Linked DNA regions of Danio rerio. The protein of the gene in region 1 purifies or fractionates together with the protein of each later gene. This does not show direct contact. Links are inferred from orthologs where the notes say so. Each region holds a gene or a part of one and is shown in the gene's direction. Other genes may lie near its edges. The genes, in order: cep97 and sugt1.

What was found.
Region 2: the proteins of cep97 (region 1) and sugt1 purify together in Homo sapiens (affinity purification with mass spectrometry; 3 studies listed by BioGRID and IntAct, with this or other methods). This does not show direct contact. The link is inferred for Danio rerio from reciprocal best matches to the Homo sapiens genes CEP97 and SUGT1.

The regions. Positions count from the first base shown.
Region 1 is NC_133176.1:193,764-210,521, forward strand, and holds cep97 (centrosomal protein of 97 kDa), read left to right. Parts: upstream 1-8,618; 5' UTR 8,619-8,628; coding exon 8,629-8,686; intron 8,687-9,024; coding exon 9,025-9,173; intron 9,174-9,446; coding exon 9,447-9,605; intron 9,606-9,685; coding exon 9,686-9,787; intron 9,788-9,870; coding exon 9,871-9,984; intron 9,985-10,155; coding exon 10,156-10,319; intron 10,320-10,683; coding exon 10,684-10,842; intron 10,843-10,941; coding exon 10,942-11,054; coding exon of another isoform or gene 11,055-11,084; exon of another isoform or gene 11,085-11,107; intron 11,108-11,350; coding exon 11,351-11,789; intron 11,790-12,001; coding exon 12,002-12,077; intron 12,078-12,325; coding exon 12,326-12,613; 3' UTR 12,614-13,023; downstream 13,024-16,758. Other genes in the region: rpl24 (large ribosomal subunit protein eL24), read right to left, coding at 3,332-3,412, 3,544-3,607, 6,210-6,346, 6,733-6,843, 8,202-8,277, 8,403-8,407; nfkbiz (NF-kappa-B inhibitor zeta), read left to right, coding at 15,313-15,562, 16,135-16,232, 16,323-16,362, 16,456-16,538, 16,675-16,758. UniProt on the Homo sapiens protein: Acts as a key negative regulator of ciliogenesis in collaboration with CCP110 by capping the mother centriole thereby preventing cilia formation. Required for recruitment of CCP110 to the centrosome.
Region 2 is NC_133176.1:29,650,186-29,664,557, forward strand, and holds part of sugt1 (protein SGT1 homolog), read left to right. Parts: intron 1-3,910; coding exon 3,911-3,981; intron 3,982-5,509; coding exon 5,510-5,563; intron 5,564-5,657; coding exon 5,658-5,686; intron 5,687-6,127; coding exon 6,128-6,147; intron 6,148-6,250; coding exon 6,251-6,347; intron 6,348-14,372. UniProt on the Homo sapiens protein: May play a role in ubiquitination and subsequent proteasomal degradation of target proteins.

The DNA.
Region 1 (16,758 bases):
TCGTGTTTTATTAGAGAATAGACCATATGCAAATGACTCATTAGTATTCGTGTTTTTGGACCAATCCTGTGTGTCCTCAGCTGAGTGTGCTTTCGGTCAGGTTTAATCCTTTATATCTCGGCCGTTTTTTCATGTTTTGGTTTACTTTTTTCGGCATTTTAATCGGTATGTTGTGTAGAATAAGTGTTGAGCAAATAAACTGTCATTACTGATCAAAAATATCTCTGTGGGGTTACCGTTTATGAGGAGTGCAGCTGATTTAGTGTGGTAATTTACAATCAGTGAATACAGATCAATGGCCACAAACAGACAAACTGATTCATGCAGTTTATTGGAAATGATAGAGCTGAAGTGGTCATGTCAATGATAATATTAACACATACACATCTCAGTTATGTGTTTTGAATAGCATGAATCAACAGTGTACAATCAATGTACATAATAAAACAGAATAACAGAAAGCACATAAACAGACCAGCAGCAAAATTTTCAGATCAGCCTGGCAAGGTGTGAGCACAATGGCTGGGAGTAAAGAAGATAGAAGGGGCAATGAAACCAATTTAAATGGTTTAAGTTCTGTGAGAGAGTTTGCTGAGGAATTATATACAGTTTACTTAAGGTTTGATGAGGATGATTTTAAGTCAGAAAATGACATTTTAAAACAACATCTGTCATGTAGTAAATCCATAAACATTATTAGGACTCAGGTCAAAAACCTCTTTCAGAGAATTAATACTAAAAAAAGCCCAGGCCCAGATAATATTGGTGGTAAGGTGCTGCATACATGTACTGAACAACTTTCTGAAATATTTAATTGCATTGTTTTCAGTCTCTTATGTTGTAATAATCTCAGTTTATCGTGGACTTGAACACAGACACTTATCCTCCACAATGGCGGCACACAATGGTTCCTGTTTGTTTGTTTAGTGTTTTTTTTTTCTTGATTTCGCAAGACAAGACCGGCAGCTGTAGTTGCCAGAATCACTAAAGGAAAGAAAAACTCAAGTTACAGCCAAAACCAAAGATGACATCAACTGAAAATAAAACTCTAGATAAAAATAATAGTACAAAATAATTAGACAATATAAATGTTCTTTCTGAAGATCTCAGCAGAGATCATTTAACAACTTAAATCAGTGGAGCTTCACTCATTACTGAGCTCAGACTTTTCTGTCATGTGGACAAAACTCTTCATGGAGTTGCTGTTGTTCAGTTGGTCACCATGATGGAGGTCAGCGTCTGCTTTAGTTGGCCTCTTCAGCTGCTTACTTCAACACTAGATTTATTTAGGTAGCCATAAGTCGGTGTGTTGATCACACAATTTGTATGGCACGAGAAGCCTAAAGGAAATTTAGGAATAAATGTAATGAGGTTATTCACTTCTATAGACTCTTACTGTACACTCTAAAAAAGCTGCTGAATAACACCAAAAGTGGTTCTTTGGCTCGTAATGAAAGGGCAACCGGGTGCTTTATAGCAACTTAAGAGATAGATGCTATATAGTACTTTTTATAGAAACTTTTTGGTGCCATATAGCACCTACATTGTTAAAATAATAATAATAAATGGGCATTTTTTTCGTGATTTTGTGGGAAAATACCAGCAGCTCTGGTTTTCAGTAAACAAAACAACAAACATAAACATTTTTTTAGCAATCCTCGATTATAAGTAACTTATCTGCAGCTGTGCTTCCGTTTCTTGGGCACTCAGTAGTGTGGACACTTAAGTGTTCATTTAAAACTGAGCATTTGGCTGTGGGGTTAAAGGGTTAAACCTTCTCCACTTGATTAATCTTATTATAGTCTGGTTCTGGATTGGATTTATACAGATTTGCCTGTATGTCACATCTTCTGCTCCAGCAGTTGGCTTTACAGCAGCACTTCTCATGTATGCAGCCTTGCTCAGCGAGAAGCTTCAACATTTAGTTGTGCTCAGGTGTGAATGCTGTTTTCTGTTTCAAATATGCTGTGATAAACACATTTTATAATTATTAAAGTTATATTGCGGTGAAGCAGAGGGTAACTCTGTCGCCTCACAGCAAGAGGGTCGCAGGCTTGAGTCTCGGTTGGGTCAGTTGGTGTTTCTGTGTGGAGTTTGCATGTTCTCCCCGTGTTGGTGTGTGGTTTCCTCCTGTTTCCCCCACAGTCCAAACACATGCGCTATAGGGAAACTGATCAACTAAACTGGCCGTAGTGTATGAGTGTGTATGGGTGTTTCCCAGTACTGGGTTGCAGCTGGAAGGGCATCCACTTTATCAAACATATGCTGGATAAGTTGGCAGTTCATTCCGCTGTGGTGGCCCCTGATGAATAAAAGAACTACGCTGAAAACAAAATGAATTAACTCTAAGATTACAGCCAGTTCCCCATTTTATCAAGTGAAAAGGTAATAAACGTCACACATGACTGATTTTATCCTACTTAAATGTTTGAAATGTAATGTTGTGCATTACCTTGAGCAGCTGTTTCCCCATGCCGTGTGTCTGCCTGATGCAGTGGTGTTGCTGCTTATGTCTGCTGTACCTCTGCATAAGCACATCACGTTCAGCTGGAGACAGAAATGCTGATCTCTTCATTCAGATGTTGCCATGGTGACTCTTCATATCTGCGCTCCGTCAGTAATGCCTCTCGATAGCTGCGGTGTGCGCGCTTAACTCTGATTCAGTCTACTCAGACTTGATTGACCCATCACAGAGCTCAAGTTTAAACTGAGTTTGTTGAACCTCCTTACTGAAACAGGCCCCAGATCTATTGAGGCGCCGTCTGAACAATGCAGGTTAGTTCCCTCTTGACCATCTCTAGTGTCTGTACAGCTCTGAGCACCGCATTCAGCATTGAGTAAAGCACATAGAGCGTACTGGACACTTTAAACGTATTAAATGACTGATTATTTTCATAATTATGGGATAAAAACACAGAGAGAGAGAGAGAGTCTCCTGCAGCAGACACAGACAAAGCTGCACTCCAGTAAAAGAGCAACTGTACCCTGACACGAGCAGACGCCGCTGGATTGAACACACATCAGAACATTTACTGCAAATAGACTTAAGATGTCTGCGAGCCCAAACCCTGATCAACTCAGCAGCAGGTTCAGAACAGCCGCTCTGTTTACAGTTAGAGTCGAACACTTCCAAACAACAACAACAACAACAACAACAACAATCAGCGGAGTAAGCCACATCCACAGCTGCAGCCGCACACAGGCCCTGACCACTGAAGCGGACAGGGAACAGTGTTCTGATAAACACACAGCATTACTGATCCGGCTAAACACACACACAAACACGCACACACTGAAGGTTAGCAGTGAATCTTTATTAGCACATCAGAGTTTAGCGTTTGCCACCGACGCGAGGAGCGCTGACCTTCATGGGCTTGGCAATCTTCTGTTTCTGAGCTGATTTAGCAGGAGCCTGAAAACACAAACACAACCAATGAAGACACACAACACCTGCACTGAAGACAGAGAGAGAGAGAGAGAGAGAGAGAGAGAGAGAGAGAGAGAGAGACAGACACACACACACAGTAATCTGCAGCTCTTTACCTTGCTGCTCTGGGTCGTCTGCTTCTTGGTGGCCTGCTTGGCTTTCTTCGCCTCCTTTGCAGCCCTAAAGATCAGATGCACAGCAGCGTTAGCTGTAGCAAGTGATTAGTGCGCGCACACACACACACACACACACACACACACACACACACACACATCTATCTATTGGCCCATTTTCACTGAGTGGTACGGTTCGGTTTGGTACGCGTTTATGGCCGTTTCAAAGAAACTTTTTCCTGTCAAAAGGCTTACCGTACCGTACTACTTCTTCTGCACCCTTTCAAAAGAGTACTAAACACGAGAAAGGGTACCAAAAGGCGGCGCTAAACACGCAGCTGAACGCTATTGGTTTACAGAGACTCTTCATTCGCTTGCGCAACAAGCCAGAATGAAAACAAAAAGCCCGCCATGTTTAAAATACACACGTTTTCTTGCTTGTGCTCGCCGCGCGTCTATATCTGAAATAACGAACTTCTTGAGCTGATGAGGATAACGTGCGCTTGATAACTGACGTGCTTTTGAAACCCGATCCTGTCAGACACTGACAAACGCAAGAGCGAATCGCAAAAAAACAAAGAAAACGGGAAAAAGCAGCACATTATTCCTCCAGCAAACGTGAACACACTGCCTTGCTTTATTTTTCATCTTCACCTTCTGGACTAATATGAACACAATGATGGAGTGACTCTAACAGAGGCTGCACACACACACACACACACACACACACACACACGCACGCACGCACACGCACGCACGCACGCACACGCACGCACGCACACGCGCACGCACGCGCACGCGCACACACACGTACACACACGTACACACACGAGAGGTTTGCTCTGACTGTGGGCTGTATTTTGTGTTGTTTTGAACCTAAATAAGGATGAAATGTCTGCTGTGTGTAGTTTATCTGTAGTTGGTAACATATCGGAGACTGTAAGGGTCTGTATGTGTTCATATGTTCATTAATTTATTTATTTTGTATAATTACAGACGTTACAGTAGGCTATTTTGCACTGTCATTGATCTGCAGATATAACCAACTCCTGTCTACAGAAAAGTTTGTAATGAACATTTATACACGTGTGTGTGTGTGTGTGTGTGTGTGTGTGTGTGTGTGTGTGTGTGTGTGTGTGTGTGTGAAGCGTCTGTGTGGTGAGAAATGCTGCTCATATGATATGTGAGCGACCCGTACAGCTTTACTGCAGACATTTCCTCGAGCGAGAATGATGCGACTGAAACTTCCTGTCATTCACCACACCCACCAAAAGGAGACCCTTGGTAATGGAAATGTAAGCCTGATAAAGGTGACCCGTACCAACCCGAACCGTACCGTAAAACGAGGCATAAAAGCAGAACGAGCTCACGCAGCTCTTCACAGATAATGGACATGATGACTGAGGATTCTGCAGTCCTGCAGATCAGTAACCCGTGTAAACGCGTGTTTGGAGTTGGGCTGCTCGTTTATGGGAAAAATCATAATCCCGATTATTTTGGTCATAATTATAATCACGACTATTCAAAACGATTATCAGTTGAAGTCAAAATTATTCATCCTCCTGTGAATTTATTTTTATATATAAATATTTACCAAATTATGTTTAACAGAGGGGGTTTTTAACAGTATTTTCTATAATATTTTTTCTTCTGGAGAAAGGCTTATTTGTTTTGTTTCAGCTACAATAAAAGCAGGTTTGAATATTTTGAAACCTATTTTAATAGCTTGATATTATTAGCCCCTTTAAGCAATATATTTGTTTAATGGTCTGCAGAAGAAAATACTGTTACACAATGACTGGTCTATTTACCCTAATTAAGCCTTTGAATGTCACTTTAAGCTGAATACGAGTATCTTAAAAAACATCTAGTAAAATAGCCTATAATGTGCTGTCATCAGAGCAAAGATAAAACAAATCAGTTATTAGAAATGAGTTCTTAAATCTGTTGTGTGTAAACCGCGCTTTAAGCATCTCCACTGTATTTTTTATTTTATTATTGATTATTAATAAAAACAGTCGGCAGCAGCAGGAATATTGCGCGGTCACTTTAAGAATAGTGCGGCTCTGATACGGTTTCTCTTTCTCGTGTCTTTTGATTCTCAACTTGTTAGTTTATTACACAGATGAGGGTTAATATGAATAATCACTAAACACCGCGCTCTGACACAAGTGTGCATGTGTTTCACCATTAAAGCGCTCGCATTAAGATCGCATTAGATGTGTGTGCTCTGCTGTCCGAGGCTAAGCGCGGCACGTACGCAAACACACACACGCTAGCTATCTGAGGTTAAGCACAGCGCACACACAATAGCACGTACCCTTTTGCGCTTTTAAAAATGTGAATGATGCGCATCCCGTGCTGCACAAGTTACAGTACAGCACATCTTTCAGTCATTTTCACATGGAACTGAGCTTTGCAGAGGCAAAGAGTTTTCACACTTGTACAACTGGAAAGGGTGCGGTACGTGATGGAATAATCGTTTATCTCGATTCACGGCTTTTCATAATCGTTACAAGCCAAAATCAAAATCAGATTTTCGATTAATTGCACAGCCTTAGTTTGGAGATTTCCATGGTGACAGGAGCACCACTACAACTAGCATCAAGCATGACCACTGAATGAAGAGAGAGTGTGTGTGTGTGTGTGTGTGTGTGTGTGTGTCTCACCTGATGGCCTGCTCGCGCTGGGCTTTACGCACTTCAGGCTTCTGGTTCCTCTTGGCCAGAATCTCGGCCAGAGAAGCGCCGGTGATCGCCCGCTGGAACTTTACTGCACGACGTGTGCGCTTCTTCGACACCTCCTCCTGAAGAGCACAACACACACACACACACACAGGTCAGTGTACTTCATTAGAGCAGTGGGGTCTGCTCCATATCTCCAGCACATGACGTCTGCAGCCCTCAGCCTCCTCACAGGAGTACACGTCGCCCTTCACTCGCAGTAAAACACTCTCTGCATGATTCAGTGGAGACGAGAACAGCAGCGGTTGATCATGCTGATATCTGCTATGCTGGCTTCATGTTCTCCTCAGCTGCAGTATATCTCCATAAATCTATGATGTAATGTAAATGTACACAGGAGGAAACACACTCTTCTCCACTCCTGGACTACACTACCCATAATGCACTCTGTCTGAGACTATACACCCCCCGTGCACATGTGCCCGGTGAATAATGTTAATGAACTCACAGACTGGCCCTTCTTGTGCTTGCGGCGGTACAGAACGGTCCAGTTGATCTGCCTCGGGTTCCTCTTGGACAGAAACGCAGACTCACATTTGGCATTGAGGAACTGGAAAACCTGCAGTAGAAGAGCATCTCCATCAGAACACAGCAACATAATCAATAATCAATAATCACACATGGACCCCAGTGACCTGTGCTGAAGCGCTCCATGCTAAACGGCCCTCTGCAGACACGTACAGCTCAGCTATTAAAATCGCGAAAGAGCATGTGCTGTTGTGTGTGTGCACAGCGCTTAGCCTCGGACAGGTAGTGTGTGTGTGTGTGTGTGGGTGTGTTTGTGTAGCCTCGGACAGGAGAGCACACACGCACATCTAACGTCATCTTAACGAGAGCGCTTTAATGGTCAAACACATGCACATTTGTGTCAGAGCGCAGTGTTTAGTGATTATTCATATTAACCCTCATTTGTGTAATAATCAAAACATGTGAGAGAAACCATATCAGAGCCGCACTGATCTTAAAGTGACAGCGTTTCTTTTCTCTTTGACAGACACATAATTATTTTACTTGACATTTTTCAGGACACTAGTATTCAGCTTAAAGTGACATTCAAAGGCTTCACTCGGGTAAACAGGCAACTCATTGTATAACAGGAGGACAATCAAATATATATATATATATTGCCTAAGGGGGATAATAATATTGAGCTTTTAAAAAAGGTTTAAAAATATTCAAACCTGATTTTATCCTAGCCAAAATAAAACAAATAAGCCTTTCCAGGAGAAATATTATAGAAAATCCTGTCAAAATTCCTCCGTTAAACATAATTTGGTAAATATTTATATATAATAAATTAACAGAAGTGCGAATAATTTTGAACTGAAAATCGTTTTGAATAGTCGTGATTATAATTATGACCAAAATAATCATGATTATGATTTTTCCCATAATCGATCAGCCCTAACACACAATCTACAGCGCTCAGCCAAAACACTGGAGGAGTTCCTGAACACATCAGCCAGAGCATGCGGGATTCAGCACTTCACCATCAGCAGCAGGAGGAGGAAGAGGAGGAGATGCTCTTATATTAATAACAACGCGTACCACTAATTCTCTTACACACACACAGATATGTAGACATACATTTGTGTGTGTGTGTGTGTGTGTGTGTGTACACACACAGCTGATCGGCAACAGTCTTCAGCAAACCCGAACCCTAATATAACTCTAGAACAGTAAAGTAACCCATCATGCTGAACTCATAATGACGCTAAATTAGCCAGAGTAACCCAGTGTCTGTGTTAGCATTAGCAGCGGGGCTCGCCATTACTAACCCATCGCTAACTGTAGTTAGCCAACAGTATCGAACTACCCTGATGAATACGAATATTCACATAATAATAATGACAATATTAATAATAATAATGAGGATGATATTAGTGAGCTGCTGGTGTCGGAGTAACTCGGCTTTACCTTTCCGTCAATCCTGGCGTATCGCCGGCCGTGACCGGGATAGATTTTGTATCCGCTAAAACTGCACAGCTCGACCCTGCAGAGCACAAATGAGCGTCATTACAGACACGCCGCGAACATTAATAACTCATAAACACTTTAATCGGCGCATCTGTGAGGTTATATTGCAGATGTTTGGGGATGAACACAGAATACACTCACTTCATGGCGGCGGTTCAGACGGGGAAGAGGAAGAGGAATTGTGGGTAAGCGGTTTATAAAGGAGCCCGTTTCGTTAAAGTAAAATATTTTTTTGAAGTAAACATATATTTGACATAGGAATGAACCCTACTATTCTGTAAAAATATCCAAAAATATAAATATTTTCAGATTAAATCATCCAATGAAATCTGCGCTCGGTTGCCTGGCGGTGACACAAGCGGGAAGTATGGCGGCGACCGGAGCGGGGATGGCGGATCCGGTGCTGCAGATGCCGAATCACAGAGGTACGGCAATATCAGCCAATAATATTGCAATAATCCACGAGTTTGACTAAGCGGAGACTTTAAACCGCAGTGTTTTTCTGCAGACCGGCGATGTGTGCGGATTACCGAGTTTAACGGGGCGTGTGGGGTTCCGCCGTGTGTGTGTGTTTGTGTGTTTGTGTGTGTAAACTCCGTCATTCACTGATCACTGATCCGCTGCTCTCCACACACCTGCGGGAAAGCGTTTATTGGCTTGGTGTGTGTGTGTGTGTGTTACTGATGTGTGATCGATGATCTTCCTGATCGCTGTAGTGATCAATACTCCACAGCCGTGTTTATTCTGCGCTGTTCTCTTTCAGGTCCGGGGGTTTTAGACCTGTCGGCTCGGGGTCTGCAGCGGCTGGAGCCTCAGCTGTTCCGCCCGGATTCACACACACACACCCTGATCCTGGATCAGAACCAGCTGATGAAGCTGGAGCACCTGGAGCACAACCCCGACCTGCAGCAGGTGTGTGTGTGTGTGTGTGTGTGTGTGTGTGTGTGTGTGTGTTTGATGAACTATAGCAGCGTCTGATGGAGAAGATGAAGATAGAATGTGAGGATTCAGCAAACACGACACACTCTTAGTGCACTCAGTAGTGCTCCACCACACACTCACTTCACTCACTCCTCTAAGTGCACTACTGTAGTGAGTAAGGGTACAGGGGGTGATGTGATTTTGAAAACAGTGTGTGTGTTCAGCTGTGCTCGCAGTGATGTACGTGTGTGTGTGTGTGTTCAGCTGTCGGTGGCCTGTAACCGTCTGGTGCGCATGATGAACGTCTGCAGACTCACGCAGCTGCGGGTCCTGGACCTGCAGAATAACAGCATCGGCTGCATCGAGGGCCTGAAGGAGCTGCAGCAGCTGGAGCGCCTCAACCTGGCCGGGAACAACATCAAGGTGAGTGTGTGTCTGCAGCGGAGTTCACCTGAGCATACGGTCACACACACACACACACTCCTGCTCTGCTGTTTGTGCAGGTGATGGAGCAGCTACACCACTGCGTCTCCCTGCAGCACCTCGACCTGTCTGATAATAATATCTCGCAGATCGGAGACGTGTCCAGGCTCTCGGCGCTGCAGGTGAGTCCGCCGCCGCTCTGAATGATGATGATGATGAGGATGATGATGAGTGTACAGTAATATCCTGCTCACACACACTGCAGACGCTGCTCCTGCACGGAAACATCATCACCACACTGCGCTCGGCTCCTGCTCACCTGCCGGCACACCTGAGAGTGCTGTCGCTGGCGGAGAACGAGATCCGGGACCTGACTGAGGTACACACACACACACACACACAAACACACACACACATTCAGGCTCACACTGCCTCCTCCTGTGCGGTTCTGCATGTGAGTGTAGGCAGATGTCTGACCTGACCTCGCTGCACAGCTGAGGATGCAGATCTGTCCTGATGTGTGTGTGTGTGTGTGTGTGTGTGTGTGCAGGTCTGCTATCTGGCTCCGGTGCGGGGTCTGCAGCAGCTCTCCCTCCTCAGTAACCCGTGTGTGTCGTGTGTGTCCTCCGCTGTGTGTGATTATCGGCCATATGTGCTCAGCTGGTGCCTCGGCCTGGAGCTGCTAGATGGAGTCGCCGTCACACAGAAGGAAGGGTGAGTGGAGCTCGAGGAGGAGGAGGAAGAGTGCTCATTATTCAGTGTTCATGCTGTGATGACGTGCTGCAGTTTCTGATCTGTGCGTGTGCGTGCATGTGTGTGCATGTGTGTGCGTGTGTGTGTGCGTGTGCGCGTGTGTGTGTGTGTGTGTGCGTGCATGTGTGTGCGTGTGCGCGTGTGTGTGTGTGTGTTTGTGTGTGTGTGTGTGTGTGCGTGCATGTGTGTGCGCGCGTGTGTGCGTGCTTGCGTGTGTGTATGTGTGTGCGTGCGTGTGTGTGCGCGCGCGTGTGTGTGCGCGCGTGCGTGTGTGTGCGCGCATGTGTGTGTGCGTGTGTGTGTGTGTGTGTGTGTGTGTGTGCAGGCTGAAGGCGGAGTGGCTGTACAGTCAGGGCAGAGGGCGAGTGTTTCGTCCGGGCGAGCACACTCAGCTGCTGCAGTATCTGTCCCGCACGTGTCCCGCCGCCGCCCGGCAGCCCCCAGCAGAGGACGCCAAACTGGAGAAGATCCTCAACAAACAACGGTAGAGTCCAGACCAGCAGCACCGGCACCGCTCATAGCAGCACCGCTCACTGTGTGTGTGTGTGTGTGTGTGTGTGTGTGTGTGTGTGTGTGTGTGCAGGCATCATCAGAATCAGCTGCAGCATACACATCACCAGACTCCCTCTCGCCCCACACACCTGGACGTGCAGCAGCTCCACCAGAGCACACCTGATGAAGATGAGGAGGATGAAGGTGATGATGTAATCGCTCAGGCTGCTGTGTGTAAGATGCGGGTTTCTGTGCTGGTGTGTTTCCTATTCCCAGTGGTAAAGCACAGTACAGATGAGTGCGTGTGTGTGTGTGTGTGTGTGTTCTGCTGATGTTTGTGTGTGTGTGTGTGTGTGTGTGTGTGTGTGTGTGTGTTCTGCTGATGTTTGTGTGTGTGTGTGTGTGTGTGTGTGTGTTCTGCTGATGTTTGTGTGTGTGTGTGTGTGTGTGTGTGTGTGTGTGTGTGTGTGTGTGTGTGTGTGTGTGTGTGTGTGGTGCAGATGTGGAGCCTGCAGTTCGGGTGAACGCGTGGATGGACTCTGTGTCTCCACCCTTGGCCGCTCCTCCCCCCTCCGCTCCTCCCCCCGCTGTGGCTGCAGACGGGCTGCTCCTGCAGGATCTGGAGGCCCCGGGGCCGCTGGCGTCTGAATCTGCCGCTCCTCCGGCTTCAGCTCCTGACAGCGGAGAGGAGGAGTTTGAGGACTCTCTGGCTCCTCCCACATCCACTCAGCACCGTGCCCCAGGGGAGGAGCCAGTGTGTGGGGGCGTGTCCTCAGAGCATCAGCAGTGTGAGCCGCAGGACGCCGCCGTGAGGATCCAGAGCTGGTGGAGGGGCCAGTGGACTCGCCAGCGCCACCCGCAGGCCAGAGCGGTGCGTGCAGAGATACGCATGCGGAGGATGCAGGACCACATCATACACCTGAGCACACAGCTGGACAGGTGAACTGTTTGTGTGTGTGTGTGTGTGTGTGTGTGTGTGTGTGTGTGTGTGTGTGTGTGTGTGTGTGTGTACTTGTGAGGTAAAGTGGAATGAAGAGCGCTAGAGGTCAGAGGTCGGCTCATCTCTGCTCCGAGAATTGAAGATGACTCTAGTTGAGATCAAGCACAGCGTGAACTGAAGAGTGTGTGTGTGTGTGACTGCTTTGTTTCAGGGTCCGCCGGCAGCAAGAAGAAGAGCGACTGCAGAGACGTGTTCAAGAAGAAGCAGTGAAGGTTCTGTGGAAACAGGTCAGTGAAAAACACACACATAAACACACACAGACACACACACACACACACTCACACACACATAAACACACACAGACACACACACACACACACACACTCACACACACACACACACACACATAAACACACACAGACACACACACACACACACACACACTCACACACACACACACACACACACATAAACACACACACACACACACACACTCACATAAACACACACACACGCTGAACATCTGCTTCTCCAGCTGCAGGTGTTGTTGCAGTGGCAGGCGTCTGTGGACCAGCGGCTTAACACAACACACACTCCTGCGCTCAACAAGACACACACTCCTGCCGACAGCGCAGCACACACTCCTGCAGACAGTAGCACTGACACACACACACACGCTGATCTCTCGGTGCCGGAGTGCGGTTCTCCGTGTGTGAACAGCAGCGCCGCCTCTGGAGACGCGCAGAACTGCAGTCTGCTGGAGCAGTACCTGAGCTCCGTCCAGCAGCAGGACGAGGAGGAGCGCGCCGCACACGACCTCTGACCTCTGACCTGACCGCACCGAGGCATTATGGGATGTTGAAGGTCTCTGCCCTCGTCAGCAGTCGTGTATGATTAAACATCAGTTTTCTGCCAGTTCTCTTCAGTGCTGCTGACGGAGGCTCCCTAAGAAGTGCTGATGCTGTCTGAGTGCACTTACTGGTGCACATCTCTCCTTCACAGCCTGCAGCTGTAGATGAAGACGCCGCCGTGGAGTAATGTCAATGTGTTGGTCATCTGCTGCAGTTCAACCCCGCAGAGAGTTTAGCAGGCTTCAGTGTGTGTGTGTGTGTGTGTGTGTGTGTGTGTGTGTGTGAGCGCGCTCGGCATGTGCTGCAGCAGTCTTCAGTTGAGTGTTTTGTATGTCAGATGTTTTACAAATCATTTTTGTAAATAAAGTTTTAATTTCCTTCACCGCTGTGTGTGTGTGTGTGTGTGTGTGTGTGTGTGTGTGTGTGTGTGTGTGTGTGTGTGTGTGTGTGTGTGTGTTTATTTCCATCAGGAAGATTGGTCTAACACAGTGGTTCTCAAACTGTGGTACGTATACCACTAGTGGTACGCGGGCTTCCTTCTAGTGGTACGTGGAGGGATGCAATATGGCATGTACATGCTACATATATTTCCAAATTTATCAAAAATGATGTATATAGTATGCCATACATGACATACAGCCTATATTTCTGAGGTATTTTGCCACATTTTTTTAACTGTGCAGAGTTGTAGCTGCTTTACTGGGCCTACTACACTACTGTATTTCAATACTGCTCATTTTGGTGGTACTTGGAGAGACTATTTTTTTCTGAGGTGGAACTTAATGAAAACAATTTGAGAACCACTGGTCTAACACATTATTGTTCCCTCATGTGGATTATTCAGTGTGCAGAAATACACAGTATATGTTATAAACACTGAGCTGATGTTGATACTCCGAATGCCGCTAGATGGCGCTCTCCGTGTTCCTGCAGTGTGTGTGTGTGTGCGTGTGTGTGTGTGTGTGTGTGTGTGTGTGTTCGTGTGTTTGTGTGTATAATGTTGATTGTTTTCTCCTGCCCTGTGGGTTATCTGGCTCCTCTGTGGACCTTTAATAAACCCTCAGCAGGTTCTGCTCAGGGCCCTGTTTCAGTAAGGAGGTTCATAGCGGATCTGAGTTGGGTCAATCAACTTTGAGTAGAGCGCGCGCACCGTGACTATAACCAGGCATTATCAATGGAGCGCAGATATTACGAGTGACCATGGCAAGATCTTAAGAAAAGAGATCAGCATTTCTTTCTCCAGCTGAACTTGATGTGCTCATGCATAGTTATAGCAAATATGAGCGAATATTTTGAAAAGCAACACCACTGCATCAGTCAAACAGAGACAGCATGGGGAAACAGCAGCTTGAGTTAATGCACATTTTTACATTTCAAGTATTTAAATATTTAAGTTGAATAAGATAAGTAATGTAATGTGTGACGTTTATAAAATCATCACACACGTTCCCACTTTTATACATGTTGATCAGTTTAATAGATTTAACAGTGCACTTGTGTGTCTGCCTTCTTATTGATGCAGTGATAGAGGCTGATATGACATTTAGAATGTGCAGAACTAATGCTAATTAATCTAAGCTACTTGTCCCTGCTGAAGGTCAGTCAATTTAAGCTTTATTCATTAAAAAATGACAAGCCATTCTCGTACGTGACTTTGTTCTTTGTGTGACTGTAATGGCAATAGCTGTGTTTCCGTCCAATAATATTAATTCAATTTATGCGCAAAACTGGAATATCGCTTAAAGATTTGTGCGAATAAAGCAGAGTTTCCATCCAACGAGTCAAAGAACAAAACCGTCACTTCCTGATTAAACGAGCACCAAATATCAACAGTAAAGCAGAATTTACTAGAAGCTGCGGCAGCCTCAATCTTACTTTTAATAAACACACTTGCGCCTCAGAACACAATGAACACGAGGGGGCGCTTGAAGCCATGAGACGCGGAGGACAGACGCTCCTGACACGCTCCAGACGCTCTGGAGGTCATTAACAATATAATACCATTAATACTGAAACAGTTCAGGATTTTTAGAATGAATGAGCAAAACAACATTTCAGATGTGTTACAGTGTGCTCAGCCATTCACACACATTTTCATTATCAAATAACAAACCTTTTTAATGCACATACTGTAATTTGTTCAGTAAAAGTGTTTCCATCGAAGTTTATGCGCATCTTTTCTAGCGAATAAATGTTTATCCTACTCATTTATGTGTATGTTTTTATGTGTATTTTTCAAAGTTATGTGCATCATAACGTTTCCATAAATCGTTTTATGCGCATATACAAAATGAGCATCAATATAGGTGTGTGGAAACGCAAGACTAAGGCGAGAAATACCGCTTTATCTTTAAAAAAGAGAAGAGACCGACAGAAACTCTAAGTTTAGAGAATAAAACCTGCTCCTGGCCAGGTTAGGTTCACAGAATAAGTTTCCACAGTAACTGACTCTGAGTTAAAGTGACCTCTCCTTCAGAAACAGGTTGACTTACCCTGCTGTCTCCAGTTTAACAAACCTGCCATTTTGAAACGGAAAACCCAGAGTTTCTCTTACTTAACCTCCTTTCTGAAACAGGCCCCTGGTCTGAGAGCAGAAGTCGCCTCGTGAATTATTCTGTATCGTGTAAACACCTGGACGTAATGACGTGTGTCTGGGGCGTCTCTCTAGCTCATGACGTCACGTACGTTTAAAACCCCCAGCGGAGCTCCAGTTCGTCATTCAGAGCAGCAGCAGCAGCAGCAGCAGAAGATGATCATCGACCGAGTTTCTGACGGGTTTTCGGGTCTGCTGGACCGGGACGCGGATCTGATAAGTCCGGTGCAGCTGTGGGGCTTCCCCGGCTGCAGTTCCCCCACAGAGCCGCTGCTGTCCCCGGGAGAGCCCAGCTCCGACTCCGAGCACAGCTGGAGCGACGCCAGCGGTAAGGCAATATTGACATTATTAGCGTTCATTACTGTCTACTGAAGCTGCTGCTCCTGAATAACACAGCAGACACACGGGAAAACCCCGAGAATAGCTGCAGGGTTACAGGGCTTTGTGTTGGTCCAGTAAAACTGTTGTGTTGTGGCCGGCGGACGGGGAATGTCCCGAAACCCGCCAGAAACCGTCAGATAAAACTGTTTATTTACCATTTTGAGGAATGTAAAACACAACAACAGTCCCAGTGTAGCTCTGATTTGACATCTGTAATTTCTAGAGCTTCCGAGAATCTAAAAAGAGCCACATGTTGATCAATAATGTTATGACGAGAGCTGCTTTAACATCAAGTTATGACTGAGTTTCCTCTTATTGCTGACTGAAGTACAGAAAACAAGCAGGAAACGCGCATGCGCTGATGACGTCACCATGCTGAAATGGTCGATAGTGAGAGCCAAACATGTTAGACTGCCTGTAGTGTGTGTGTGATGTGTAGTTTGACCAGGTACAGCAGGTGTGGTGGTGTATTATTGGCTGCTCAGTATCAGGTGTGTGTGTGTGTGTGTTTGTGCGCAGTGGAGGCGGAGGGCACACGCAGGAGCCGCTATCAGGGTGTGCGCGTCAAGAACACGGTGAAGGAACTGATCATGCGCAGAAAACACCTACACACACAGGTACACACCTGCACACACAGATACACACCTGCACACACAGATGTGTTTATGACATGTTTATGACACACACTGACTGATCACTGCTCTCAGGTGCAGCAGCAGCAGTTCGCCGTCGATGACGAGTGCGCAGGTAACAGAGCCGACCGCCTGTTAGCAGTCCAGGAAGTAGTTTGTCCTAAATGACTGAGGTGTTGTCTGTGTGTGTCTGTGTGTGTGTTTGCAGTGCTGCAGAGCAGGAAGAGGACAGCAGAGAGTGTGTGTTTCTCTGCTGTGAAGCGCGCGCGAGCCACTGACGGATACACACCGGTACAGTTACTGAATTACTGAGTCTGCTTCAGTCTGCACACACTGAGTAATGATTAAACCGCTCAGATAACAATAACACGGTGTGTGTGTGTGTGTGTGTGTGTGTGTGTGTGTGTGTGTGTGTGTGTGTGGACAGATGGAGTGTGTGTCCAGTGACTGTGATCTGCTGGAGGATCTCGGGGTTTTTCTGGCTCCGCCTCTCTCCGTGGGCTCAGTGATG
Region 2 (14,372 bases), about 29 Mb from region 1:
AATTGGATTCAGGTCAGATGATTGACTTGGCCATTGCATAAAATTCCACTTTTTTTCCCTTCAAAAATTCTTTGGTTGTTTTTAAAGTATGCACTGTGAAGCGCCATCCAATGAGTTTTGAAGCATTAGTACATATAGTACATAATACTCCATTTCCTTCTTTAAAGATGCCAGAGAGCTTACACTTGTGATCTATAAAATTTAGCATATGAAAAAATAAGATTAATCATTTCAAAATGAAACTGCCTTTCTCCAAAACACCAAACAATATAGACTTCTAAAAATATATAAAGTGACAATCGATATTTTGTAGAATAAAATCGCAGACATCTTGCTAAAATTGCTTAACAACAGGACAATGTAAAAACAAATGTATCACAGTTCAGGGCAACTGGCACTAAAAGAGCAATTAAAGTCAATGGTCAGATTTAAATTTAATCAACTAATTTTTAGCTTGGTATATCCTGTGCATAGTTTTGAATGATACTTCCATTATCTCAATTGTAATTAAATATTGATTAGCTGTTGACCATGCCTTTTTCCAACCAATATTAGCTGCGTCCCAAATGGCACACTATACACTATGCACTCATGCACTATGTACTTATGCACTTACACACTCAACAGGATAGTATATGTATGTAGTGTCGTCCCAAATGGCACACTTATGTATTTTTACTAAGCGGAAATTCAAACCGTTTCCCTGATGACGTTTGACTGTTGCCAAATCAGTGAAATAAACAACTGAATTATCAAGTAATACCTGCCGTGAGTATTGCTGCATTCACCATCGGGAGGCGCTATAATCACTCTCGTAGGAGAATTTTGCTTTCACCATCCAAAATAAATAGTTATTCAACATATGCGTCCGATTGCTCCGCCCCTTCCGCTACGTAAGCAAACCTGCGGTCGTTCAGTGCGTGAAGTGTCCATCATTACACACTTCATTTTAGCGGCTGAATGAGTCTTGCTGCACTGATGTGTGATTTAACAGAAAAAAAACATATACTACCTTTTTATATTAAGCAGAAACAACTGAAGGTTGTTTTTGTCTGATGCTTAAATAACACAGACTTCAAGATAAATATCCTCAAAAACTTTGTCATAATTCCCTGATGTTACAGGAATCTTGTAATGTGCCAGACATTCATTATAAGTCAACAGAAAATCATTTAAATTAAATAACTGACCCATTATTATGATGTCATCATTATTATAGAAGGAATACTGGAAAAATTGGTTCCAAGACATCATAGCCATAAGCTCATAATTAGCCAAATTTAGGTATACCCCAGATGTTCTTGTAAATTGGTTACAGACATTCAACAGACATTTAACTGACTATAAGAAACATTGTAAGTATATATCAACTTATTTTACACTAACCCCAACCTGACGGTCTACTTATAATATAATGAGAGTTAGTTAGCATGTAGATGCAATGTAACTTAAATTCAACAAATAGACCATCAAAATAAAGTGTGATCGTGTCATCTGTTAATCATGGATTTTTATCTCTCTGTCAGCAATCGTAATACCTCTTATTGGGCTTGAGTTAATATAAGAGAAAAGAAGCTGACTTACAGTAAGAGGTATGGAGATACTAAGCACCCGTCTAATCACTTTAGAAATATCATATTTTGGGGAGGTACCATTAGATAACTTCATAGAAAAGTTGCCATTTTTAGAAAGGGTTTATTTACTGTAGAGCAGGGGTGTCAAACTCAATTCCTGGAGGGCCGAAGCCCTGCACAGTATAGTTCCAACCCTGCTCCAACACACTTACCTGTAGGTTTCAAACAAGCCTAAAGGACTCTATTAGTTTGAGCAGGAGTGTTTAATTAGGGTTGAAACTAAACTGTGCAGAGCTGCGGCCCTTTTGGAACGGAGTTTGACACCTGTGATGTAGAAAAAAAATGACCCAAATCTAATTTCCTTAACGTAGCAAGGATAAACTGATATTCTACAGAATCAAATGATGTACAAAAGTGTAAAAATAATATAAAATTCATTAATCATGTAAAAATCATTAATCAACTTTGAATATTCCAAAATAATCAAACCTTTGTTATTATTCATAAATTCTGATTGTGATTTATCAATTACTAAATCTAACAATAGTTTTAATCTTTTAGCTACAATTAAGGCCAACAACTTTGTCATTACTTTAATTATCATTTTACATCAAAATTAGTTTTTTTTTTTTTTGTTTAATATTTGTTAATTAACTTAAAAGATTTAATCTTGTTGAATGGTGAGAAAATATTGTTTAAATTTAAGTCATTACAAAATGACAGAGTTCTACTTATTTTTAGATAATGAAATTGTATTTAAATAATGACTAAAGTCTTTAATCCTAAAATAAACAGGAAAGGAAACCAAAACAAGAATTTGATTTAGTGGAGACAGATTTATAGTAGCCATATATTATTTTATTTCTCACTTTTTTGTACACTTTTTTTTTTTCCTTTGACAATGCATGTAATTGATATTTTGTGTACTGTATACAAATATTATTTACATGTCAGCTCTTTATTAGCACGAAACGAACTTTACAGTCCATGGTTTTGAAAAATAAAGGTAATTGACTTAATTGTGTGGAAGCACGTTTTGACAATCAACAGATTTTCTTTGGCTCCGAAGCAATTTTATTTTGAACAGGTTAAAGATTCAAGTATTTTTGAAGATTTTAACAGATTTGTGTGTGTTGAGCATCAGTTAAGACAACGTTAGCAACTGTTAGCTTTAATTTTGTAGAAAACTGGATTAGTTGGAGCTTTTGTCAACTAATTTCATCTTCCGTGTTTAAAATCATTTTTGGGGCGGGATCAAAATCAGTGATGTAGCACAAATTACAGATTACAGAATTACAAATCTAGTTTTAATTTGGGAAATGCTTTAGATATATGTGGGTGCGGGAGTTTTGTGCATTATAAACTGATTACAAATCAGATTACAAATGAATGTCCTGTTCATTTTAATTAAAAAAATCTTGGATAAAGCATCTCTTCTTTTTCCATTTGTCCATATATTGCTAATATATTTTCTAATACTTCTATACTTTATTTTAATTGAATTTATAGAGCCAAATTAAATATGTTTAGACACAATGCATTTATAAAGTAATATGCTTCGTTAAATTACATTCAGCCATCATGCTTTAGCTGCCATATGCATTTGTCAAAAATCTGTAGGTAAGTGTAGTGTAATTACTTGGCTATTTAACATCAGGAGTGCAACGGTTCAATCTGCTCATGGTTCGGTATCTATCATGGTTAGGCTTCACACATGACTTAAGATTTGCATGTTCTCTCTATAATTAAAAAAGTAGAACATTTTGAAAATTGGATATTTAAATAAAATCTTTTTAAAAAATAGAAAAAAGCCTTTTTCTGTTTTACACATTGACTCAACTGTCTCAATCACTTATGCAAATAATAATAATAATAATAATAATAATAATAATAATAATAATAATAATAGTTTCAACAAATCTTAATAATTGAGCACTTTTAAAGTATTGACTGCTTCTGCTGGGTCTGGTATTTTAAGTGTTGAGATAAGGAATGGCCACATAACAAAGTGGTTAATATATATTTTTTTAATCATGAGAAACACAGTAAGTAATGTTTGTTGTATTGCAATGCTATATAAGTCAAAGTAAATTTAGAAATTACACTTCTTTCTTTTTTATTTGTGTTTTCCATACTGTGCCAACTTTTTCTGATTTGGGTTTTTACATCATAGTCTTCTGATGGGCTAAGCAAAGAATCTGATCATGTGTAACATTCTAGGACAATGATATCTGTCATGTATAGTAATATTTACTGCTTGCCAATTCACAATACTTTAAAAAAGTTAAATATTTTAAATGACAGGCCTAATGTTCTTTTTGTCATTGTTTTTGAAGAATTGCGGAGTATCACCTACATAACTTTGTCGCTGCTCATCAGGCCCTCACAGCAGGAAGAGACCTTGACAGTGAGTTAATTTTTTTTCAAGTATGGAGTGTAAAGGTAATGCGACACCACATTAATTTGATGGAAATGTGATATACTGGCTTATTATATTGTAGCTATGATAAAGTGTCAATTTGTGTGTATATAATTGTATATTTGTGTGAGCCACAATGACAGAAGTCACAATGAGACAGATAAAAACTATATATTTTCACATAATCTGGTCCATGTTGTTAATTAGGAGGTCAACTAAAAGCACAAGTGGTTTCACTTTCTCTAGAGAGCTCTATTGTTTATATTTTAAACAACTTTTTGTAAGTTTTAACATTTCAGAGACCATAAGGCTCAGTATATGTTTTTTTATTTTTTTTATTTTGTATAATCTCAGATGTTACAGTAAGCTATTTCACATTATCATCTGCAGCTATATTCAAATCATGGTTACAAAATGGTCTGAAATTAACATTCATACATAAGTATTTATGTATATAAAGCATTTTAAGAAGTGCTTCTCATATGATATTTGAACTTCAAGCTAGAATGACCTCGACTGCCACTTTCTGTCATATACCATGCCAACCAAAAGGGTGCCAGTGGATTACTGTAAAAAAACAAGGCTTCATTAGCATTCACACTAATCAAGAAGTCTATCTGGGAAGAGATATTCTGAACAGTCCTCACTTAAGCATGCAGTAAGTCACCAAGTGGGCGATGTGTGTATTCACAGTTAAATGTTAAACCTAAAGTGTGGGAAGAATGATCAGAAAGAACAATTGCATTAAAATGCAATGCTTAACTAGAGAAAGCTTATTTTCAATTAAAAAAATGATAATAATCTGGGAGAAAGATTGATGGGCATGGGAAAAAAGAATAACCATGCAAAGAAGGATTGAAGAAATGCTAGTCATCAGTGAGAAAGTTACTTTCTTAGAAAGTCTACCAGTTTTTGGGTTTAGGCAGATATTAAAGACACTCCCAATAATTAAATAGATAAAATGTACATTTGGTAATACAGAAAAAAAAATCTATCTTATCTACAGCTAAGTTAGGTGTATAGACCAGCTGTCAAAATTTGATTGATTGCTTCTGGTCTAAGCCCCGCCCCTTTAAGCCAACTTTATACTTCCAGTAATTAGATTCTTATCAATTATATATATTATAATTCCAGTTGTTCAAATTGTAATCAGATTAATGAAACTATAATGCAGGTCATTTTAAGCTATTCAATTAGTTATTAGATCTGTTATTATATTTTAATTATTTATTTAAAATTATTATAATTCTATTATTTTGAATAAACTATTTACTATGTTATATTATAATTAATAAACGCATATAAACATTTGTTTCTGTTTATACTAAAAAGATACCATGCATGAGAATACTGCAGTTTAACTGTATCTGAAGCAAATATTATTGGCACTTAAATGTATAACATTCATTCATTGGTGCCTTTAATTGATGCTGTTGAATTTAAAAGATGTCATTGCAAAATTAGTTTATATTAATTATATATTAATTACATTTTGATATGTATTTGTCATACAAAGGTTCTGTTGAAGAATTTCAAACATGGATGCAGCACTGTGAAACTGAAATGGCGAGTATGTATAACGTAAATTTTTTTTTTTAATTCAATATTAGTTCGGGGATTGTGTGTATGTGTATGTCTAATACAATAGTTTTCTGATTTTTTAGCACACATTCCAAACAAAACTTCAGATTTGGTAAGTGTCTGTTTACTGTCTTTATCTATATGTAACTGGAAAAGAAATATACAGTATTATGCTAGTGCTTTAATTTTATTGCCTGGTTTTTATCATCTTAATTTAAAGAAACACAACGAACCCTTAATTGAGAAAACTGAGTAATTTGATACATGAGATCAGTTGTTTTTGTTAAACGATGTGCTGTTGATGAATTTTAATTGTTAGAATATTTTTTTAAATATAGAAAAGTGGTATTTATAAAATGTTGTAAACTTGATCAGTTTTTTTTTTGCCATGACCTAGCCAAAGAAGCTGAAATGGCAATAAACTCTCTCTCTCTCTCTCTCTCTCTCTCTCTCTGTCTCTCTCTCTCTCTCAAACAATGATTTGTGCTTTTTTTTTATTATTTTCCCTCTGTTTCTGCTGAAATGCACTTACAACTGACTGTTTAAACAACAGCAAACTACAACCCATGTCAAGTAAGTATGGTGGTGTAATAATTTTATTTTAAATTCTTTGTGTTTAGTAGTACAAATATAGAATAAAATTGCATCACATTTAATGAATTTCTGCTTCATTCAGACATGATTGGTACCAGACAGAGTCTCAAGTTGCAGTTACCATCATGGTAAAAAATGCCAAGAAGGAGGGTGTGATTGTCAGCTTTGGCGAAAGGGAGGTAATGTTTCTCTCCTTTTTCATGTCATCAATGATTATGCGCTGTACATAGTTAAGGTTGAGAGGTGGACATCATGGTATATAAATAAAGCTTTTTAACTAATATAATAAGCAGCCATGTGGCTGGTAGGGTATACATATACGGTGACATATGCATAAATTGACATAAACATACAAGTGCACATTCCAGGTAAATGAAATGTCTGTAAAAGGCAAGTGTATAAGAAAACTAACCTGTCTCTTCTTGGTTTGGTAGCTTCGAAAAATTTAATATAAAGCAAAAATATGAGTTTATATAAAATGGGGTGATTACAAGTCTAATCAGTAGGGCTGGAACGCTACACCAAAGTCACAGTTTGGTATGTTCCCTGCTTTTGGGGTCACATTTTGATAAGAGTTTAGTAAAACAGTAGGGCTGCACCATTGACCCTTTGCTAATCTACACCCAAAAACCGCCACCCACCAATCGTGGCTTAGCAACTGTAGCTACACGCAGGGGCTCTGTCAAGCTTTCGAGTGAGTGCATATGGATTGTGCAAATCTGATACCTGGTATCCCTAAAGTTTGGTCAGGATGGTGGAATTTTTTCCCTTTTCAAAACCAAAAACCCAAGAGGAGAAATGCCAGCGTGGATCAAGCTCTGTGAGGGGCACTAAGCGGAGTTAAGTTGGTTTTGTTTTGATATTTCTGACACAATAAGTGATAGAACCACGGCAATAACTCACACACCTCTTACCCTAAACAGACCTAAACTGTGTTTCCTACAAAAATACAAAGCAGGTTATGTTTCCCAGCTGTCTTTTTCTTTTTTTTTTTCGCTCTATATTATGAGCACTGCTCCGTTTAAGGCTTCGCCATAGTAACTTAGTCATACTAATAGCGATTAGGTCATGAGTTATTGATCCGGAAAATGCAAATCTGTTGCTAACTTTACTTAACTTCATATTTCCATCTATTTCAAGCTACGAATATTTGAAATTACAAATCAACAGAACAAAACCGAGATATAATCACAAACTGAGCACTTGCGATCAATATACTTTACCAGCAGCTGTTTTTCAATATTTTATAATAAGTACACAAACATACTGACAGCTATAGATAACTCACTGTACATTGTTATGGGTCAATGATGCTAATATTTAGCACAAATCCTTGAGTTTCCCCTTTCTGGCTGTTCTTTCTATGTATATACTATGTAAAAGCACTATCATGCGTGTTTCCTCGTTGGTTAGTAATGGTATATTTCATTGCACAAAAATTAATCTATCAGGCTTTTTGGCTAAAAATAGAGAAATCACGGTTTAATTTGTTATTATGGGATTATTTTTAAATTTCACCTCTACTGCCGAGTATGAACTAAGCTGTTGAATGGTTAGAGTATGAGGCGGCTAGGTTAAGCTAGCTTCAGTTTTGATTAAATTATTCTCTAATCGGTTGCCTTTTATGTGGTGAATATACCCCTGAAATGCATACTGCAGTCCTTTTTTGTCTGGCTTTCTCGGACATCTCACCTGTTCGCCAAAAATTACATTATATCCCTGGCAATGTCTGACAGCGGCGCATACACATTGTAACAGCCGTGCCAGGCATGATAGCTTGTCAGGCGTAGCAACAGTAACTAAGGAGGTCTGGGCTTAGCGAAGAGTCAAATTGTAGATAAATTTGAATTGCGATTGATCTGATCAATATTGAGATTTAAAATATGATTTGCAACAATTTCTTTAAAAGAGCTACAGGTTTGATGTGGTGGTTTTAACATCACCAAAGAAAGACCAAGCATAACCACAAAGTATTATACACTATGCTAATGTTTATTTAAAACCTCTTAATATACATCTCTATTTCCTTATTATATTTTTCTGAAAAATGTCACCAATCACTTTTTTTTTTCCTGGAACGTTAGTGGACTTGCCTCCCAGACAAAAAGTATCAAAGTTTTAAAAGAGCCCATATTATACATGAAATAGAGTCATATCTTGGTTGTAAGGGTCTCCAACAACAGTCTAATATGCATGCAAGGTCAAAAAACACTTTCATGGTCTTATAATCTGTATTTATTTTTACCTAATTGTCCCAGCGACTCCTGTATGAATCGTCCAGTGATTCATTTGTTCCCAAACCCCTCCTTAGCGCGAAGCTAATCTGCGCTGATTGGACCGATGACAGCCTGTTGCGATTGGTTGACTGCCTTCAGTCAGAGTGAAAAGCCAAACAGCTAATCAGCAATATAAAAGTAATCACAGTTCATACACGCTCGATAGTGTAGGCGTGGATTTTAGCTGCCAGTGGGTCAATGTAAATACAGTCGATGGACTTGAAAATTCAAACGACTATTTTATTGAGCAAAAACTCCAAAAACTGTCGAGGAGATCACATAGCTTGTCTCACTCTGCCCTTTTTACAGACACACACACATACACACACATTGCCCTCGTCCTTGCGTGCGCACGCACACACAAAAACACACACACACACACACACACACACACACACCTCAGGACGACAGCGAACGCGCACATACACACTACCCTCGTCCACGGAGCTCCGTAAACAAAGCAGCACGCGTCGCGTTTTTAACGTGACTTTGCACGCGATAAGAGAATATAGCCAGTTAACCTGATACAGTACACGCGGTTACAAGTAACAAATCACAACTAAATACATTTGCAAGCTAGAGTCAACGAGGCAACAACTTTAATCGCACGTACTTACACTTGAGAAATGGAGGAAGAAACCCATCCTGACGTCCATCAGTAAGTTACTCTTTACTGATCCTTCCTTTAACAAACGCCGATAAAGTATTCTTTGTAGCATGTAGTTTGCAGAAGTTTCCAGTAGTTTCCAACTGCTTGGTTATAATACTGAGGTTTCATCTTTGGCGAAACGCCTAATGACTCGGTATCAAGGCGACTCGTTTGAAGCGCTATGAGTCGACTCTTTTATAGATGAATCAACCGTTTTAAACACTGTACTCTTACAGATTTAAGCCTTAGCTGGATACTTTACTTCACTTAGAGCTGTGTTACACACTACATGGAGGGGAATTTTCAAAAACCCATAATATGGGCTCTTTAATCAATTAATTACAAGCAGACATGCCGAAACGATCATAACATCTGATCATAACATAATTAAATCATCACAGTACAATCATTCTAAAATTCTCTCCACATCATCTTCAGCCATCATCATTACTAAAAGACTAACATCACGCAGCTTCACACTACACTGGAGAACTAGATACACTCTCTCTATCTCTATTTATCATTTTTATTGTACCACTGTAAACATTTAAACATTAATGCACACCATAAAATTAGTCTCTACACTGATGATGTATTATTATATTTACGAAATCCTCAAACATCTTTACAAAATACAAATAAACTTAATGATACGTTTTCAGATATTTCTGAATACTCAATCAACTGGAGTAAATCTGCTATACTTCCATTAAATTCCACCAGTGTGGATGTGACATCCCAAACATCACTAATCCATCAATGTTTCCCCCAGGCTGTCAGAGTTGTTTTGACTTAACTATACTTAAAAAAGATCATTTTCAACATTGAATGAATCCATTATGGGCGGAATATCTGTAACTAAAATGTGTATGTTCCTCAAAATAAACTATTTATTTTCAAAGATTACAGCACAACCCACTCGTACCATGTTTAAATTTTTAAAACCGTAAAAATCCCAAATCCCAAAATCCCAGAGTTAAAAGGTTATAAAAAAAAAAAACACATTGAGGTCTACTTTCTGGCAATTCTGATGTAAAGCATACAGTGGGTACGTAAAATATTCAGACCCCCTTAATTTTTTCTCTCTGTTCTATTGCAGCCATTTGCTAAAATCATTTTAAGTTCTTTTTTCCCCTCAATGTACACACAACATAAAATTGACATAAAAACAGTGTTTTTGCAGATAAAAAAAAAAAAGAAAAACTGAAACATCATATGGTCCTAAGCAAAAGTTCCTCTCTTTCAAAATTATTATTAATATTGTCATTTTAATGTTGTTGTCTTTATTATTATTTTTTTTTTACAATTATTATTATTATTATTATTATTGTTATTATTAATATTATTGTTATTATTACTATTACAACTACTACTACGTGCACAAACAAACATACAGTTGAAGTCAGAATTATTAGCCCCCCTGAATTATTAATGCCCCTGTTTATTTTTTCCCCCCAATTTCTGTTTAACGGAGGGAAGATTGTTTCAGCACATTTCTAAACGTAACAGTTTAAACTTATTTCTGATAACTGATATATTTTATTTTTGCCATCAGGTCAGTAAATAATATTTTACTAGATATTTTTAAAGACACTTCTATACAGCTTAAATTGATTAATTAGTTAATTAGGTTAACTATGTTGGTTAGGGCAGTGGTTCTCAAACTGTGGTACGCGTACCACTAGTGGTACGCGGGCTTCCTCCTAGTGGTACGTGGAGGAGCTGGATAATGAAAGAAACAATTAACACTTTTAATCCTTTGATGCGTAATATAACATTGATGTGATCAGCATTGGCTATTTTGTGAAGCGTACGATCACAACGCTGTGCTTAGAATGTTTATTTTAGAGCATTGTGTCAAAAGCTGCTGTAAATCAATTTAAGAATTGACTCTGAAGCTTGATTTGACTGACATGAAAAGTAGCCAATCACAGTCGACCTTGTCTAGTTGCGTAAAAAGTAAGGGCGGGACAAATGTTTTCTGTGTTGCAGAGACAGAAAAACAACTTTAAAACAAATGTTTTGTTGGAATAATGCTTGTCGGATGTTTTCACTATAGCGATGTCTAGCAGAGTAATTAAACCGCGGACATATTTTCTGCCATTTTGATGATCTACATACACGTTTCGGTCTCCGACAGCCAGTCGACTCGCCTCTGACCTGTCACTCCTCTAAATACATTCTGAATGGCAGCGCGGGAATGGAGGTATTCCGCAATAACTCATTTCTGCTAATGTGGCGAGTGCTTTATTTTAACACGAAAGCGCATTCATGTACGCAAATCGCTAAAACAGATATGCGAGCTCTTAATAAATAGGCTTTTTTTCAAATGAACTGCAAGTGCTCTCATGACCGCCTGTGTGCTCAGATTAAATACAATCGCGATCTTTCCACTATTAAAGTAGACATTATTTATCTTTGCTCCTTGACTCAATTTAGTCAAAAGTATTCAAAGTTATCAAGTATTTAGAAATAGATTGATGCATGATCGATGACAATGCTAATGGTCTTCTTATTCGGCTGTGTTGTGAAGTGAAACTTACTTTTAGCTAAGGTGGAATTTTTTTTATTCTTTTACAACAAAAGAATTATGCTGGAAATGTTTCTGGATGAGGTATTTGTGTGATCTGATCTGTCTTAAAGCATTACAGGTCAAAGCAATCCGTTGTTACTTATTGTTTATTTATCCAAATTAACAATAAGGCTCTTAAAGCACTACTTTGATAAATGTATTGTTGTCATATTTCAAATACCTCAAGTAAAATAAAGTAATTTATTTTATTTTTTACTGACAGTGTACTTGTATTTTTTTACGTTTCTATTTTAGATTAAGATCAAGTGTAAAATAAAATCTACATGTGATGTACAGCTATTTAAGAAACAAATTTGCCATATTGTAAAGAAAAACAGTGTAACAAATGTAAATAAAAGGCTAAATTTAAATCTTTTTACCATATACTTTAATTTAACCTTTCAAAGCTTTAAAATATTGTTTAAAAAATGGGCAAAAAGTGTCTCTATGGCCTTAAAGATTATTTGATTAAATATTATTATTAATGATTTTTATTTGTATCTATTCCTATGCAATGTTTTATGGGTTGCTAAGAATACATTTCAGGTCTTCAATACATAGCATGTCAGTCTTGAAAAAAAAAAAAAGTGCCGGAATTGATTTTCATTAGGCTGTGCCTGTATGAACCCTGTTATATGTACATTTAACATATATTTCAAGATTTGTCTGAAAGTGTAGGAATATGACATATAGCCTATATTTATAAGGTCCAAGCAACATTTCCAGCTTTTGATGAATAGGCTACTATGAATACTTTAGATTTAAGTACAGCAGTTTTCTTTTTACTGTTTAAGAACAGGCCATTTTTTTATGAACTTTTAAAACCACATTTTAACTAAAACTTTTTTTACACAGTTAATGTTCAGACTATTTAAAATGTTTAAAGTGACTGACAATAATACATATTCTTAATAATAGGAATTAATTTGCATCATTTTTAAACTGTGCACACCTGCAGCTGCTTAATTAGGCCTACGACGCTATTTTTAATACTGGTTAAAAAAATTGCGTCATAAGGTGGTACTTGGAGAGACAATTTTTTTCTAAGGTGGTACTTGGTGAAAAAAGTTTGAGAACCACTGGGTTAGGGTAATTGGGCAAGTTATTGTATAACAATGGCTTGTTCTGTAGACTATTGAAAAAAAAAATTCTTAAAGGGGCGAATCATTTTGCCCCAAAAATGTTTTTAAAAAAATTAAAAACTGCTTTTATTCTTGCTGAAATAAAGACTTTCTCCAAAAGAAAAAATGTTATCAAACATACTGTGAAAATTTACTTTCTCTGTTAAACATCATTTGGGATATATATATTAGAGAGAAAAAAAAATCAAAAGGGGGCTAATAATTCTGACTTAAACTGTGTATATATACCGTTACACCCCTACAAGTGATTCTTTTTATGAGTGGAAATTTAAATAAGGTTACACATGCAGCACATTCGAATTACAAAATGTAGGTTTTGGTGTGGTCAGGACATCATTTGCTTAAACCATCCTATGAAACAAACTTTATTTAAATGAATTTAAACTTCTTTTTATTATGGTGTAAATCATTTATCCAATCGACTTTGTGTTGCTGTGGACCCAAGAAAGTACAGTAAGAGTTCATTTTACTGCTATATAAACACACAACATTAGACTTAATGAGCCTTTAATAAACTGCTGAACAGCATAGACTGGAAGTAGTGCGTCTTACGTGGTCAAGGCTTATATGCTCCGAGAACCCAAAATAATTTTACAAAGCTGAATAAGTCTGTCAATACATTTTAAAAAACAATTAAGAAACGATTCACTCCCAAATCATAAATAAGCAGCAAGCAATTAATGCAGTGACAAGGCACAAGTATTAAAAATAAAGTTTAGTAAATTCTATTAAATTAAAAAATGGTAACATTAACTTCAATTACAGAATTTAAAAAAGCTGGAATAAAATCATAAATAAATTCCGTTTTATTGAATAAAAAGAACTAAAATGATATAAAAGGGAACACCTTGCTGGCAAGACAGAACACGCTAAAACGAACAATTTTTTTTTTCTTAAGTCAGTTTTTAATTTAATCACAATCAGTTTGCTTACAGTTTTCTTACTTTGTCTATCTACTCTCTTTTTCATCCTGAGTGTGAGGAAGATTTTCAACAACCTAGTCAGCTTTTGAGTGAATGTAAAGCTAAATAAGTGGGGCTCCAAAACATTATAAATAATCTTAATCCCCTGACAACATCTAAATTGGTTTGTAAATTATATAACATTTAAATTTAGATCATTAATAACCTAATCATTATATATGCTTCTAAGTTAGAAATACAGCATTTAAAAACTGCATTTAATAATGTCTATTAAGATAAGTGATGGTAAACTTTTACTTCATATGCTGTTGTCTGCTCACACATGACTGAAGAATAAAGTCTTGCTGACCTTTCTTAATTCAGATCTAAAGATCTTCGTTTAGAATCACAAACACAGGGTAATCTTTTTCTCATCTGCTTGCAGCAGGCTCCCATCCCAACTCAAAATAATCGTAATCAGTTGTGCCTCAAAAATGAATGCAATGTGAGGGGAATATCTTTTTTATATTACTTAAAGACAAGGCTGTGAGCAATTAATGGTCTTATAATAAATATTGTTGATACTTGACATGTCAAACAATGTTTGAAATCTTCTGAATGGGAACATTTTTGTAAGGCATTATAATAGAGGGACACACTTTT